Arabidopsis thaliana: one gene and its partner. The protein of the gene in region 2 interacts with the protein of the main gene of each other region in a pairwise test. Each region holds a gene or a part of one and is shown on either strand. Other genes may lie near its edges.

Region 1 (8,662 bases), on a different chromosome or scaffold from region 2:
TCCTTTTCTTCTTCCTGTACGGAATCCCACGAGCCTTGGCTTGAGATTCTCTCACTTCCCTCAAGTGAACCCGGATCGACCCGTTTGCAAACGGGTTAGTATCAGGTGACCCGCCACCGTGTTCCTCGTAAGCAGCTCTTAGCCGTCCGATCAAAGCATCTAGGCTTCCCCAAGCTTGTTTGAGAGGACACGTGCACGGACCTGGTGGATCCGGTTGTCCGAAGAAGACACAAGCTTGATGATGTACTTTGGTCTTACCAAACTGATCTAAGTACCTTAGGAAACTTAGCACGTGCGTGTAGTCGAATTGAGACATCATCAACGGTGGATTTTGTGATTTTAGGTATTGGACGAACGTGTTCCAGTCGCGGCGTTTCTGCGATTCATAGCGGCTGAGTGGTTGCTGCGGTTGAGGAGGAAGTGGTTGCTTGTGGTGGTTGGAGGAAGAAGACGGATGATCCGGTGGATCTTTCGTCGGTGTGTGACGATCCGAAGACATTATTAGGGGAATTCTGATTTTTTGTTTGTTTGTTTTGATATTATATATTTGGTTTATGAGCAAATTGAAGGTTTAAAAGCAACAATAAAGTAAGGGAAAGAAAGAGAGATACTGAGAAATAATGGAATGGGAGAGAGAATTATTCACGAAAAAATGATTACGATGTATATATATATAAGTGACAATAATAAATTTCTCTCCTTTCATATTTTCATGCGAAACCAAAATAATTTATTTAAGAATTTCAAAACTATGCATTATATCAGTAACTTATAATAAGTTACTTATTGAGTCAAATGCAAACATTTTCCAGTAATGGTGAGTTTATTATACCGTTTTGTAACCTATAGTGTTTAGTTTTTCCACGTACGTGTCCTAACAAAAATAATAATAATCAGAATATCACTTTAGTTAATTTCTTATCTTAGTTAATTACGCTATAATAACTAAATATCATGTAACTCAGTATAAAAATATTACAGACATATATAATGATTTCTTTACAACAAAAACTAATATTTAAAATCAATCGTTATAAAACCAGAGTTATTTTTATTTAGTTTTATTTTGATTTTACTATTATTTTAGATAATGTGAATGCTCTGTTAATTTTATAGACAAACAAATATTTATATATTTGAATAGAAGAAGATCTATTCAATGAGATTTTATCCTATTTTCATATATTTGGTTATATATTATGTTTGTATTTTGTTAATGCTATGTTCACACGTTACTTTCTATGACTTTTTTTGTCATCATCCAAGAAAATTAATATATCAACGTTCACAAAACAATCAAATATCGACTTTGTAATAATATATACTACAAATTAGTACGCGTTATTATTATATAGAGCAAAAAGAGAGAATATATTTCAATGGATGGGACCCGTGAGAAGGTGCTTTCGTTCCTTTTATAAATTTTATTCCAAATGATCAAAATTTGTTATTTTATTTGGTTTGTTAATTATCTTTTTTGGTCACTGATGTGGCTAGCTATTTACTTTACACACTGTTATGATATACTCTTCTTTTAAAATTCCTTAAGAAAATATTAGTTTAAGCTATCCATTGTACGACTAGCAACCAAATCAATCATTATAAGTTTTAATAATGGTTTATTAATTAATTTCTCCAACTTGCTTAATTTAGTGGCTATTGTTGAATTATGGAGCCTATTACATCTATAACTTTATACATAAGAAATAGATAATGAAATAATTATAATAATTACAACAATAACGTTGATGAATGATGACGACATTGACCGTCATCATCCTACTCGTAGCAATACCTACTAAGTTTGTTTCTCCTCTTTATTTTCGAAAATCCAACGGTATTCCAATTTGTGATGATTTCTATAAAAGTGCTTTTTCATATACGTGAAATGAAAAAATAGTAACACCATATTCATATATTAGTTGATACTTTGTAGTTGTATATACGTGGAATATTAACTATAATAACATATCTTTGACGATACAATGAGTGATTGCTTAAGCATAAATGTGTCTGAAAGTGGACGACGCATAATATATAGATTTCCATTATCTTACCCATGAATGTTAAAAGGGACAAAACAATCCTCGGTCTTTTCTTTTGATAATGCTTTACAATTTTTAAGGTACAATTCAATGACTATTACGTGTATATGTGTTCAAGTTATTGAAATTAATTTTCAAATCAATACGTGTCGATGACTGACATATACACAACTTCAAAATAGAAATGTAGCCAATCTATTAATGTGTTGTTAAGAAAAAGGCAACCCTACTAGAATGTGTACTTATTGTGTATAACTATTGTTTTCTCACGGACAAGAAGTACTAGTTCAAGGAATAAGTTCAAAGACAGAAATACATAAAAAGCATGAAAATAGTGAAATAAAAGAGAAGACATAATAATTAAAGACGCGCATATATATTATTTGATACACACATTTAGTACCCTTTGTCGGGAATAAAAATACTGCAGACGGTGAAATCAAGATTCCGGTGACCGGAGAACAGGAATCCGACGAGAAAAACCCTAAGTAAAAAGCAAGATTTTGTAAGAGAAGATCTTGTGTGGGGCTATATATCTTTCGATATACTTTTGTCACAACATCAATAGAAATCCACTCAATACCAAAACAAAAGATAAGTATAAAAAGGTAATAAATAAAAATTCACGTGGGACTTGGGTCCATCTGTTTTTTCACCTGGGAACATATGATTCATATATATCTATTGTATTTGTATTTTTTTTTGCCCTTAGCAAGAATGCCTTTTCTTTTGTTAAGAAAGTTACAAGACTGTCTATATTGCATTTTTTTCCTTTAGTTATGATACGAAATGATGGCGTAAGTCGTGACTAGTAATCAATCATCTTTTAAGTTAATGGAAAGAAAAACCGTTGGAATGAATATGCCATTGCAGTGTGTTACCAGTAATAAACCATGTAAAATCTTCTATAATGTGCTCTAAAGCTACTTTGAAACAAGTTTCTCTGTATTTTTTTTCTTTCTTTCTAATATCAACCAGAAGACAAAAAAAGATAATATATATGAATGTTGGTTTTGTTGTATTCATAAAAGACATAGAGAAATCATATCTCAAATTTTCCAACTTTTTTAGTGATAAAAATACTCGACACTCTACAGTTTCTGAAGATTGGTATGCAGGGCCGGCCCAAGTCTTTTTGTTGCTTAAAGCAAAAATGTGTTTGACCCATTAATAATGAGGTATTGAGGAAAAAAAATCAAATTCTGACAAAAGTTAGACTCAAACTAGACACATAGAAGAAGGTTATTCAAAGCGTTGACCACTATACCACCAACAATTTTACAATTTGATGCCTCAAATTTTGTTACTAAAATGTGATGCCTAAAGCCCTAGCTTCACCATCTTTAGCTCTGGGCCGGGCCTGTTGGTATGTTATATAGCCCACAATCCTTTGGTTACATAAAAAGTATAAAAATAATAATTCATCAGCTAATTTTATATTGGTATGATAATATTTTGTTTGTGAACAAATTCTATGAGTCATATTTTTTTCAGTTTTTTTTCCTTCTTTGTAAAGTAAGAGCCCAGCAATAGTATGATAAAATAAGCTATTGAGCCTAATAACGATAAGCCCAATTAAGGCCCGTATACATGTTATTATCTCAGGCCCATACATAATTACAAAAAAAGTTAGGGACGTAAGAACAAATAAAAATGAGAAATTATCTGGAAAAGCTGAATCAAATGTACAGACACATGAGACTGAGAATCTAACTTTAGGCTTCTCTAATTATGATTCATCAGAGACTTTAATTAATTAGGTTTCAAATTTCTAATAAAGAAGAAGAGTCAAAGTGATTAAATTAAATGGTCACAGCTTTTATTTATTAAGCTCTGTTTCATTTCTGCTGCGGGAGAGAGAAAGAGAGAGAGACAATGCCGTTGGTGAGGTTCAAGATACGGAACGAGCTAAGCTTAGGTGGGCCGGAGATTCAACGTAGCGCCTCCGTGGAAGATGAGGAACCTAAGGCGATTCTCGGCGCTGTTGAAGTAGCTGGACTCATCGGTATTCTTCGTCAGTTAGGCGATCTCGCTGAGTATGTTCTCGTTTTCGACTGTTGCATACATACAGAAGATTGAAATTTTGATACTTGTAGCTGATTTTGTAGGTTTTGAAGTTGTTTCGTGTGATTAGGATGAGTTTTAGCTCATCAATTTTATCTTTAGTTTGAGTATTAGGGGTTTCAGTAACATGCTATATAATTTGATTTTCTTCAGGGCTTAGGGCTTTTCGCAAAAGTTTTGATATTTGAGCTTAGTTCGTAGACTTAGTAACAAATTAATTGTCTTTGAGTAAGTGTAAGTCTTATTTATTGAATGATGAGTTATGTCCTTGAAGTACCTCAATATAGTTGTTAACTTGAGTATCAGCTGAAATGAAGTAAAGATTGGGAATTTATGTGGACATCTAATCTATTGATGATGAGAAACTAAAGTTTCTTACTTAACTAGGAATTATGAGGTTTTGGTTGTTTACCCGGGGAGGTTAGTGAATTGGCATAGTGCGTTTTGCAAACAGACGTTAATCTCCCATAATCAAAATTCTTTTTTAGTCTTTTGTATCATTCCTCCATGGAACGAAACATAGATGGTCAAGTGAATGTAAACTGATAGAGAGTTCTTTAACCAGGTGGCATTTCTTACATGTAGATTTTCTGCAGAAGTATTTAACGGCTTACAAGAAGAAGTAACTGTAACGGCATCTAGGTGTCAGAAGTTGACAAGCCGTGTTAGACGGATAGAGTCAGCGCTCTCACCTCTTGAAAAGGCTGTTCTATCGCAGACAAGCCACATACATTTTGCATACACTGCAGGTATGGCTTTACTCTTATCTATAAGCTTCAGGTCTTATTTTAGATTTTCTAGTTTGAAGGTTCTCTATGTAGTTATACTGTCATGCACCTCACTTGTGTATAGGGATGAAAGCTTTTATGAACACATAGTCTCCACAATTTGTGTGACATATTTTTTATGAGCTTTTGTACAGAAAAAAATTCTTAGTCTTTTGTTTTTGTTTCTGCTGTAGGCTCTGAGTGGCATCCTCGTATAAGGAATGGACATAGTCATTTTGTTCAGAGTGATTTGCCTCTGTGTGTTATGGAAAGTTATGAGCAATGCAGAGATCCTCCTCCTTTGCATCTGCTTGACCGGTAAGGGACAAGCTTTTAGTTCATCCTAATATATATAGAAAATGCATTGGATCTTTATTCTGAAGTGGCTGCTTTTCTTCCTCCTTGCAGATTTGCTGTAGGTGGTCCTGGATCGTGTCTGAGAAAATACTCAGACCCAACATTCTTTAGAAAGGAGTTAAGCAACCCCAGTAAAACAGATGATATCAAAGTCCAGAGAGATCAGGCTCACCGCAAAAGAAAGGTTTGTAATTATCTTTTTTTTTTTGGTTTAGGTTATACTAAGAGTTTCTTTTCTGGTTATGAGCTCTTTTCGTCTTCTTACAACTGTACCTCGTACCAGAATGGACTAGTAAAGAATCGTGTGACCTGATAAAATATATTTCGTTAGACATCTCAACGGCTATGGTTTTTTATTCTTGTGCTTTTTTGGCTATCGTCTGCTGACTTACCTGATTTGTGCTTTTGCTGAAATGACAGAAAAAGAGGTTACCACAAAGAAACATTTGCAGATCAAATGCAGTGTCTACATCTGATGAAACTAATGGGTGGGTTATTTTAAAATATAGATGTAGTAGTTCTCGTCCATTGAAGTGTAGTCGATCCTGACAATTTCTTTTGTTAACCTGAATTTCTGTGCAGCGCTCATCTCAGTTCTTTTACTGATGACAGACCAACAACTTCTCGGAGTACGTCCACAGTTGACATGCCACGTAGCTCTAATATGCAAGATTTATCGGATATTGTAGACCAATCTTATCTGCAAGGGCAGTCAGGTGCGCAAGAACAAAGTGAAGCACAAGTACAATCAGATTTCCAAGAGTCATCAAAAGCTCGTGATTCTATAACTGGTTCAGGTTATATAGAGTATGTCATTAATCAAAGTCCTGTTGATAAGCCTGAAGTGAAGCTAGTAGAGGGATTCCTGTCTGGGTCCTTATGTCCTGCTGATAGAATAGGTTCAACTGTTCCCGAAGGCTGCATTGAAGTGGTAGATGATAATATCCTATATAGCCCCTCAGAAGACCTACTTGTGCCTTCTGCTTCTAATGTTTGTGATGAGAAGAAAGAAACACTTGAATCGATGGTGGAGAAAAGCCGCAAAGATGATGAACCATCAGAGCTACATGAGTCAAAATTTGGCCCAGTAACACCAGACAGGGTAAGGCAAAATCAAAGGGACTTTGATAGGACATATATTTTGTTTGATGAGGTAGATATTGTGGGAGAAAAACAAAGTAAGAGCCAGGCCAACAATATTGATGGAACACTAGGAATTGAGAACGAAGGAGAAGATAAGAGTGAACAAGAGAGTGAAGCAGATGAGTTTGTTGATGCTCGTAATACAATTGAATCAGAATCGGAGAGTGATATTGATGGAGTACCAAAACCGAAATTGGAGCATTACTTTGGGGATATTAGTACTTATTGTTCGGAAGATGCTAACAGTGACAACAATGATGGATCAGAAGATATAACATATGAAGAAATGGCACATGATCCACGCCATGAAAATTCTGAAGATGAATCTTGTTCAGGTTCTTACCTTCCTGAAGACTCAAATGTTTCCAGTTGCCTATCAGATCCAGTGTGTGAGGAAACTCTGTTTCATGATGAGAATTCTCAAAAGCCATGGGAATTTTTTACCATGTGCCCTTCGTTATTGGCTGAAAAAGCCGTTCCGGATGTAACAATTTTGCGAGAAGAACCTGTCATGGCACATCCCTTGTTTGCAGGAGACTCTGCTAATGAAAAGATATCATCTGAAGAACGTATTATCTCATGCCCGTCTCTGAAAGATGCTATTCCTGCTGAAAAGATCTTGCCAGAAGAACATTTGGTCAACTATCCATCTCTTGAAGCTATTCCCCATGAAAAGATCTTGCCAGGAGAGTCTATTGCCAAATATCCTTCTTTTGCAGAAATCATACCGCAAGAAAAGATCTTGTCTGAAAAGTCTTTGGAAGAAGCTGTGCTTGACAATATGACCCCAGCAGGAGAACCTGATGCTGCTCATCCATCATTTCCCAAAGCTGTTCAAGACAAGAAAATCTCACCAGAAGTTCTTGATTCGAAAATATTTTCTGTGCCAAAAGCTGTTTCACAAGAGCCAATCTCCCTTGAAGAATTTGTTAGGATACATCCATGTTTGGCTGAAGCTGTTCCTGATGAAAGGTTCTTGATAGAAGAACCTCCCAGCACATGTTTGTCTTTGACAAAAGCCATGCCTACTGAAATATTATTGCCAGAAAAAACTTTGGAATCGTCTCATTATTTGGAAGAATTGCCTGAAGAAGATATCTTGCAAGAAAAATCTGTTGATTCTACACATCCATCTTGTGCCAAAGCTGCTGCAGAAACAAATCTATCACCAGAAGTTCTTGATTCCACAAAATTGTCTGTGGCAGAAGCTGTTCCGCAAGAACAAGTCTCACTTGAAGAATTTGTTGGCATCAATCCGTGTTTGGTAGAAGCGGTTCCTGATGAAAGGCTCTTGCCAGAAGAACCTGACACCACATATCTGTCTTTGACAAAAGCCGTGGCTATTGAAAAGGTCTTGTCAGAAGAGCTTTTGGAAACATATCCTTCTTTGGCAGAATTGCCTGAAGAAGAGTTTTTGCAGGAAGAAACTGATGATGCCACACATACATCTGAAGCTGTTAGTGATGAAGAAATCTCCCAAGAAGTTTCTGATTCCACAAATTTGTCTCTTGAAGAAGCTCTTCCACTAGAGCACATCTCACATGAAGAATTTGTTGGCATAGATCAGTGTTTGGTAGAAGTGGCTCCTGAGGAAAGGTTCTTGCCAGAAGAACCTGTCATCACATGTCTCTCTTTGACAATGGAAGGAGTCTTGTCAGAAAAGTCTCCCGAAACGTATCCTTCTTTGTCAGAATTGCCTGAAGAAAAGATTTTGGATGAAGAAGCTGATGATGCCATGCACCCATGTCTTTCTGAAGCTGTTAGTGATGAACAAAGCTCACCTAACGTTCTTGGTTCCACAAATTCGCCTGTGGCAGAAGCTGTTCCACAAGCGCAAATCTCAGTTGAAGAATTTGTTGGCATAGATCCATGTTTGGTAGAAGCTGTTCCTGATATGAGGGATTTGCCAGAAGAACATATCACCTCATGTATCTATTTAACAAATGTGGTGCCTATCGAAGAAGTCTTGCCAGAAGAACCTTTTGAAGCGTGTGCATCTTTGGGAAAATTGCCTAAAGATAAGATCTCACAAGAAGAATCTGATGAGGCTACACATACGTTGTCTTGTGCCAAAGCTGAAAGTGATGAACATGTCTCACTGGAAGTTCTTAATTCCACAAATTTGTCTGCGGCAGAAGCTATTCCAAATGAGCAAGTCACACTTGACGAATTTGTTGGCATAGATCCGTGTTTGGGAGAAGTTGTTCTTGATGAAGAGGTTTTGCCAGAACAACTTGACACCACATGTCGGTCTTTGACGAAAGCTGCGCCCATCATGACAATCTT
Region 2 (7,828 bases):
CATTAAACTTTCAATTGAGTTTCTAGATCTGGTTTTTTTCTATAATTCATTTATTTGGTCTGATTGTTTATGGTTTTTGTGATTTACAGAGGAGACAAGGCTTTTTGTAGCAACGAGTGTAGAGAAGAACAGATTGAATCTGATGAAGCTAAGGAGAGAAAGTGGAAAAAATCTTCAAGATCTCTCCGGAAAAATTCTTCTGAAACTAAAGAATCCGCCGCCGGAAACACCGTACGGACAGGAACTCTCGTCGTGGCTTAGTAGAAGCTTCAGTTACATAATCAAGCAAATAGTCTTTTTTTCTTCTATATAAATACCTTTTTGTCTAAAATCTATAAACCCTCCTAAAACCACTTATATCTCCAAAGCCTCTAAAAGATTTGCTCTGTTTCTATTGATCTTTCTATGGATCGGAGATAACTAGTTTTCTAATTCCGGTTGTCGGAATCTGAGAAATTGTAGATCTGGTTTATGTAAATGAATGTGGAGTTTTGGGGGCAGAGAGAAAGAAAGATGCTAATAATTTTGGCTGTGTGATGTGATGGTTTTGTAATCTGGGGTTGAAATTTTGTTCGATGTTCCATAATAAACAGAGCATAACAACTATGTTCTTAATAAATATAAATTCAATTTCTGTATCTGCGTGTGATCGTAATGGTGTCTTAGAAATCGACAAAATTTATTCAAACTGGTGGTGTTAAGATTTGTTGGCTTTTATAGTTATTCGCATTGAACAAATTAGTCAGTTCGACTGCTCTTGGCGGTATGCATTTTACGGCAGGCAACTAACTAAGAACTCCGGGGAATCTTTTAAATGTGTAACAGTGACAGCTTTTTTGGGCCTTAAATGGGCTTCTCAAGATCCCATATATTAGGTTAAGACATTGACAGTTCCCACTTTCTATGAAGAATTTGATATTCAGAACCAAAAAAGAAAACATCTCTTCCTCTGTATAACTCAATGATTGTAGTCTTCTTGACCTGTAACTTTACCAGAGCTAGACCGAGTTTCAAGTGTTTATATCTTTGTATTACAGAATGTCAAAATCTGGTTTTCATTAGGTTCTTGTTCCATCTATCTTTTGTTTTCAGATTTGTTTTGGTTAATAGTGATTGAAAAATGAAGATTAGTTCCGTACAACACAAGAAACTTAAGATAAGTAGGATACACCCTAAATTTTCAGCAATTATAGACAACAGTTAAGCAAAGCAAAATCCATCCATCTGGTAAATGATTTAATTGATTACTCACAGGTAAAGAATTTCCCAAGACCCATCAAAGAACGGTTCTATGTTGAAGATTCTACTTAGAACTTTTGAGATTACATAGTGAAAAACTTTTAAGTGTCGACCTTTCTTCATTAGCTCTTCTCATCCTCCAAACGCAGTTTAGTATCATCCATTTCAAACCCGTGACCATCAGAAGAATGGTGGTTTAGCCACCGAGATTGTATTCAACCACAAGACTGTTGAGAGGAGAGAGTATCATTGTTTGTTGTGTACCTTAAAGCCAAAGATCTTAGGAACGTAGTTTTGAGCCGGCTTCTGCGGTTTCATGTTCCCATAGGCCATGAGAAACAAATGAGGGAAAGTAGTTCCAAAGTAAGCTCCATCAATGTCTGCAATAAGCATTAAGGAAAGAACACTAAGACAAGTGGACAACACTCTTTATCTTCTAAAAGATTTAATGCAAACAAACTAGCTAATCGCAATGTTTAACCAAACAATAGCAGATGCATCATATTATGACAAGATAAAGCTTTTTTGAACAGAGGAGCAAAGGATACTGCCTTGGTATTTAGATCGCGGGTAGTAAATATCCTCGCATTTTGGGCAGTATATCTTCACAGTGCTCGACCTCGGGATATCAGATTGGCCAACCGGAAGACAAGACTGTCCGCAACAGAAAACTCTGGGGCATCTCCCGAAATCATAATTCTTATACTTCTCCATCTACAAAAGAGAAAGATATCATTCAAAAGATCAATCAGAAACAAAGATGTAGAAGAAGTATCTTGCTTACCATAGCAGCCATTCCTTTAGTAGTGAGAATATAACGAACATGAATAAGACCATATAACATCTCAGCAGCTGATTCCACCATCTCATGCTGTTCTTCAGTAAACATATCACCTAATCCAATAAACATTCCTCCAAATTATACAACAATTCTCAGACAAAGTAAAGCCTAAATTCATCAAATGGACCCTTCACTTACCATTTGATGATTCAACATCTAAAATGAGATCAAGTGCATAATCATAGTAAGGAACTTGACCACTCAAACCACAGAGATTGAAATCATCTTGTATATAATCTTCATCTACTTCACAGAAAAACTCATTCCCTCTCAAATTACAAAACCATGAGATCCAAGAGGTATCATCACCTTCTGAACCACTCACATCTGATCCTTCACTATCCGTGTCAGATTCAACTGCATCCACAAAGAATCAAAATTTATTAATACCCAAATCAGAAAGTACTAAAACCACATGAAATTGAAATTGAGTGAGATATAAGCAATTAACCATCGGGGGAACGAGAATGAAGCTGAGATTTAGCAGTTGAAGTAGAAGGGACAGAATCTTTGTCCTTAGAAGTGAAAACCCTAGATGTAGAAGGTGAAGATTTCTTAAGATGTTTGTCTAAAGCATCATTGATTCGTTTCCGATCAATAGCTCCACCAAGGATCTCCGATCTCGATGATCCACCACCACCCATTATTCCTCCTCCACTCCGATCCTTGTACATAACTCGATTCGATTCCCTCAATGAAAAAAAACAAAATTTTTCAGCTTTAGATTCTCAAAGTCTTCGACTTTCTTATCATCAGAGGAAGAAGAGGGGCGGATAAATCTAGGGTTTGTTTTTTCTTCGATAGTTTGATCACAGAGTAGAAGAAAGAGAGAAGAAGAGATAAAGAGTGCTCTGCTTTTCCCTGTGGTTTTTTCTCATTCTCTACTGTTTTGTTTTCTTCTCTTTGTTTTTTTTTTTTTTTTTAATCATTGTTTAATTTTTTAAAATTCTAGTATTTAGAAATGGGCTTTTCGGATGGGCCTTATGACACTGACAGTTGTAATACAAAGATTCACGTAGAAGGAAACATTTTTTTGTACTTAAACTATGATTCCAAATTATATCTTAGGAAGAAAGAAATCATAAAATTCATTTTTTTTTGTATCAACACGGTAGTAATAATGGACTTGCCTTTCCATCTTTGTTAATGATGATGTGTTTGGTGGTCGATCCATTGTCCAAACTTAAATCGAAAAAAAAAACAAATGATCTAGAGATAATTAAAATTACACATCTTGTAAAATTAGTCATGTAAATGTAACTGAATTTACAAAATTTGATTTGATATAACCACCACTTATTTTCATTTTGCTGAAACATTTGGACCTTTGCATTTGCATTGATTGGTGAAAAAAACAAAGCACTATAATTTGTACAACTTTCATTTCTACCAATTATAATTTTTTTTATCAAAAGCGTTACTAAAAGATTTTTCTCTCAGCTTTTTTATACATTTTTTTTAATATAACTGTTTTTTAGTAATTTTATACTATTTCAAAAAAAGTTAACAGATAAAAGTTATGTACAGCTATGTGTTACCAATTAGAGTTTTTTTGGAAAGAAGTAAAATATGGCAAAATCTATCTAAATTCAAAAAATAGGAAAGAAATCAAACCCACCGAATAAAAAATTATTTTTAAGGCGTTTTGGCTCTCTGACAGCTCAAATTAAAGTTGACTCCTTTTTTACCACTCAAGTCTCATTCTCATTCTTCACTTGAACCAGAATAAAACCACAGAAAGAGAGAGAACAGGGTAAGTAAAATCAGAGAATTTTCTCAATCAATGTCAGCTTCAATGGCTGCAACATCAACATCATCAGCAACAGCTACAACGTTTATAAAGTGTGTCACTGTTGGCGATGGAGCTGTGGGCAAAACTTGTCTTCTTATTTCCTACACCAGCAACACGTTCCCCACTGTATATAAATCCATCTCTCCCTCTCTCTCTTTTGGATTGCTTTTCTTGATAGCTTTTGGTGACTGTTGAGATCTTGTTATTACAGGATTATGTTCCAACAGTGTTCGACAATTTCAATGCTAATGTTTTAGTCGATGGTAAAACTGTCAATCTGGGTCTCTGGGATACTGCTGGTAAATGCTTTTACCTAATGTCAAAGTTGTTCTTGTCTTTAGCTTTATATCTACAACAATATGTCAAGGTCTAATCTTTTGGTCCTTTTAAAAGAAGTCAGTTGAAAAATTTGAATCTTTGATGCAACATTGTTTTGGTTCTTGAATTCACTATCAGATTTTGCTCATGTTTCTTCAAAACTTAAATGAGACCAATTATGATTCTTGTGTTATATATCTTTTGGGTGATTCACATTATATTACAGGTCAAGAAGACTACAATAGGGTTAGACCATTGAGTTACAGAGGAGCAGATGTTTTCATTCTTGCCTTCTCACTTATTAGCAGGCCTAGCTTTGAGAACATTGCTAAAAAGGTTGAGACTTGAGATTATCTTTCCTTTTACTTTTAATTTCACTGTAATTTAACTTTACAACACTGATCTCATGTGCATATGGATCGGTTTTCTTTCGCAGTGGGTACCCGAGCTGAGACATTATGCCCCGACTGTGCCTATTGTTCTTGTGGGAACCAAATCAGGTTGAAGATAATGAACCACTCTGTTATGTCTTGAATGTTAGGAATCTAACATCAATGTGTAAGTGATGTTATGTAGTATATAAGATGAATTTCTTGATATTGCAGATCTAAGAGACAACATGCAGTTCCCAAAGAATTATCCAGGTGCTTGCACAATCTTCCCAGAACAGGTATGTTTTTTTAAAGATTCTTCTTCAATGTATATGATCAAGAACCATGTTAAGAATCAAACTCTTTTATAACTCAAAGATTGCTTCTTTTATAGGGTCAAGAACTAAGAAAGGAAATAGGAGCATTAGCATACATAGAGTGCAGCTCAAAAGCACAAATGGTAAAGTAACCATTAATGCTTGAGTTACATTTTACAATTAGACCAAATATTTTGGACCTCAATCTGATAAAGAAAGACTTATGATGATGCTAAATTTGCAGAACGTAAAAGCCGTGTTTGATGAAGCGATCAAAGTAGTTTTACATCCTCCTTCAAAGACTAAGAAGCGAAAGAGAAAGATCGGTTTATGCCATGTTCTTTGACTAGTGTACTCAAGTCTCTGGCTTTGGTTTGTTTTACATCTTTTTTAGTGTGTTTCTTCTATGAAGGACTCTTGCAGATTTTAGTATGATTAGCTATCTTCGTTATAAAAGTTTGATCTTGTAGTAGAGATTCTTGTAACAGAATTATAAGCGAATTCTCGTCTATCAGTCTATGTAAAAGAACAATGTTTGTCTTCTTTGAGTTCAAGAGACAACAACAAAGAACCGTTTTAGCGCAAAAAGAAACAAAATAAACCGATTGAAACAGAATCGAAGAATAAATAAACCGGGTTTTGTTTTTTGGCTAATAACCGAAACCGAAATAGAATAAATCAATAAAATCTCAATTCTCTAGTCTTCTCCTTTAAACTAGAGTCGATGTCTAGCTCCAACGAACCACCGCGAAAAACCGACCAACCATCGTCGTCATCGGCATCGGCATCGGCATCGCCGTCATTGTTTTTGTCACTGCCACTGGAAATCATTTCGATGATCTTAGCCCGCGTCCCAAAACGATATTACCCAATCCTCTGCTCCGTCTCCAAGAACATGCGGAGTCTTGTTCGCTCGCCTGAAATTCACAAGGCTCGATCTTTACTCGGAAAAGATTATCTCTATATCGGCTTCATCGACGAAAATTATCGCCCCGTATACGACTACTGGTACACTCTCCGGAGAATCGAGAACAGTACGACCGAGAATCTCTTCGAATCCATTGAGTTCCCTTATCCTTCCGAGCCTAATCGATTTTCCATGAACGCCGTTGGTCCAAAGATCTTCTTCATTTCAGAATCTTGTACTCCTTCATCAAGACTTTCGATCTTTGACACCCGATTTGGGGAGTTGCGTCAAGGACCTTGTTTGCTAGTGAAGCGAGGGTACAATTGCGTAGGACTAGTCGGCGGTAAGGTCTATGTGATCGGAGGCTATCAGGACGACGAGATTGCAGCGGAAAGCTTTGATCTAAATACGCAAACTTGGGAAGCAGCGCCGATTCCCGATGAAAAAGAAAGTCACAGGTGGATTTGTAAAGCAAATGTTTCATTTGACAGGAAGGTTTGTGCTTTAAGATCTCGTGAAGGCATGACTTGTTATGACACTAGAGATGGTTCTTGTCAGAGATCTGAGATGCCTAATGATCAATGGTCTAGAGTAGGATTGTGCGTGATTGACAATGTGCTCTTTGTTTACTTCTCTAGATTCGGGTTAATGTGGTATGACTCTAAACTGATGCTGTGGAGAGTGGTTTATGGTTTTGATCTTGACAACGCTCGATCAGTTGGAATCGGGGAATACTACGGAAAGTTGGCGTTTATATGGGAAAAACCAAGTCTTAATGTTAGTGAAAGCAAAGAGATTTGGTGTAGAATGATTGGTTTGCTTAGGAGTGAAGTAGGAATTCATGGAGCTGCAGAACCGTCTCAACTTGTCGAGATTGTCCCTAACGGTTATAGAATGTGTCATTGTCTGTCTCTTTCAGGTTAAAACATGTCTAGTACTACTTTCTTTGGTGTAAAATGATTGTTTTGGATAGGAGTGAAGTAGGAATTCATGTGACTAAAGATGATGATGTTTAATACTTTCGTTAGTCTATATCAATACAATGTGTTACAAGATTATGAATGTGTTGCGGCGTTTACGTCTTCAACTCTCGATTTATTCAATTAATGTTGCAGTTTCAGCATCTTCCTCTGTTCCACCTAATCAAGTTTGTGTTATTGTAAACTCACTCAGTTAAGTGTATTTTACATCGGAGTTGTTGTGTTGTGTTTCTCTTGCCCATTAAACCGATTCCATCGAAAACTGTATTCTTAAACCGAATAATGCAAATATAAATTATAAACCAAGACGAAACCAAAAAAAGATAACCGAAAATGAATGAAAACCGGACTGAACATCGGTAATACAATTAGTCAACCAACACACTTGAAACTCCATACGAGTAAAGGCCCATTGGGGATGAGGATATTTGGGCCAATCCTTCTTACCGTTTTTCGTTTGTTAACAATTACCGAATTAAAAGCTTGATCGCCACGTCTTTTTCTTAATAGAATATATTGATTTTATTTATCTTTTATTTTTAGACCAAGCTCAGGCTATCATCTCTCCGTTAATTAGGGTTTTCTTCTCTATCTCGATTTCAATACCATTGTTGATCCGCTGAGCTAGGGTTGTTCGATCCCGATAATTGTGTCGCTTAGCTCTGATCTCTGTTCATCGAATTTGGTTAATTTGTTTTGATTGGTTAAGATACATTGGAAAGCGATGCCACCGAAGGTTGTGAAGAGGGGAGGCGCCGCGAGAAGAGGTGGGAGGCTTACGAGATCGGCGCTCAAGGCGCAGAATCCTCACGTGGAATCTTCCCATGACGAATCTGTTAATATCGGTGAGCTCTCAGGCTCCGATGCACTGGAAGCCAAGGAGGTGACTCCGGAGGTTGATAAAACTGTTGAGGAAGAGAATCCATTAGATGTGCCGAAGTCATCGGATTCAATTGATGATTCTGAAGCTGCAGCGAATCCGCATGTTGATGTTCCGTCGAAAAGTAAGATTCTTTTAGCCTGGTTATTAATTTTGTTTCGTTTTTGGGATTCTCTACGTTTT

Evidence for each region. Proteins that work in one complex are often made in the same cells at the same time.
Region 1: the proteins of ARAC9 (region 2) and WAVE5 interact in a two-hybrid assay, tested with the Arabidopsis thaliana proteins (one study listed by BioGRID).

Annotation. Positions count from the first base shown.
Region 1 is NC_003075.7:10,242,631-10,251,292, reverse strand, and holds the start of WAVE5 (SCAR family protein), read left to right. Parts: upstream 1-3,742; 5' UTR 3,743-3,920; coding exon 3,921-4,081; intron 4,082-4,674; exon of another isoform or gene 4,675-4,694; coding exon 4,695-4,858; intron 4,859-5,070; coding exon 5,071-5,194; intron 5,195-5,284; coding exon 5,285-5,417; intron 5,418-5,653; coding exon 5,654-5,721; intron 5,722-5,815; coding exon 5,816-8,662. Other genes in the region: LSH9 (LIGHT-DEPENDENT SHORT HYPOCOTYLS-like protein (DUF640)), read right to left, coding at 1-499.
Region 2 is NC_003071.7:18,425,413-18,433,240, forward strand, and holds ARAC9 (RAC-like 9), read left to right. Parts: upstream 1-3,708; 5' UTR 3,709-3,863; coding exon 3,864-3,998; intron 3,999-4,083; coding exon 4,084-4,171; intron 4,172-4,416; coding exon 4,417-4,526; intron 4,527-4,626; coding exon 4,627-4,690; intron 4,691-4,795; coding exon 4,796-4,860; intron 4,861-4,955; coding exon 4,956-5,021; intron 5,022-5,122; coding exon 5,123-5,224; 3' UTR 5,225-5,470; downstream 5,471-7,828. Other genes in the region: AT2G44670 (senescence-associated family protein (DUF581)), read left to right, coding at 90-261; CKB4 (casein kinase II beta subunit 4), read right to left, coding at 1,486-1,619, 1,788-1,953, 2,024-2,133, 2,219-2,437, 2,532-2,754; AT2G44700 (Galactose oxidase/kelch repeat superfamily protein), read left to right, coding at 5,603-6,709; AT2G44710 (RNA-binding (RRM/RBD/RNP motifs) family protein), read left to right, coding at 7,490-7,769. UniProt on the Arabidopsis thaliana protein: Inactive GDP-bound Rho GTPases reside in the cytosol, are found in a complex with Rho GDP-dissociation inhibitors (Rho GDIs), and are released from the GDI protein in order to translocate to membranes upon activation.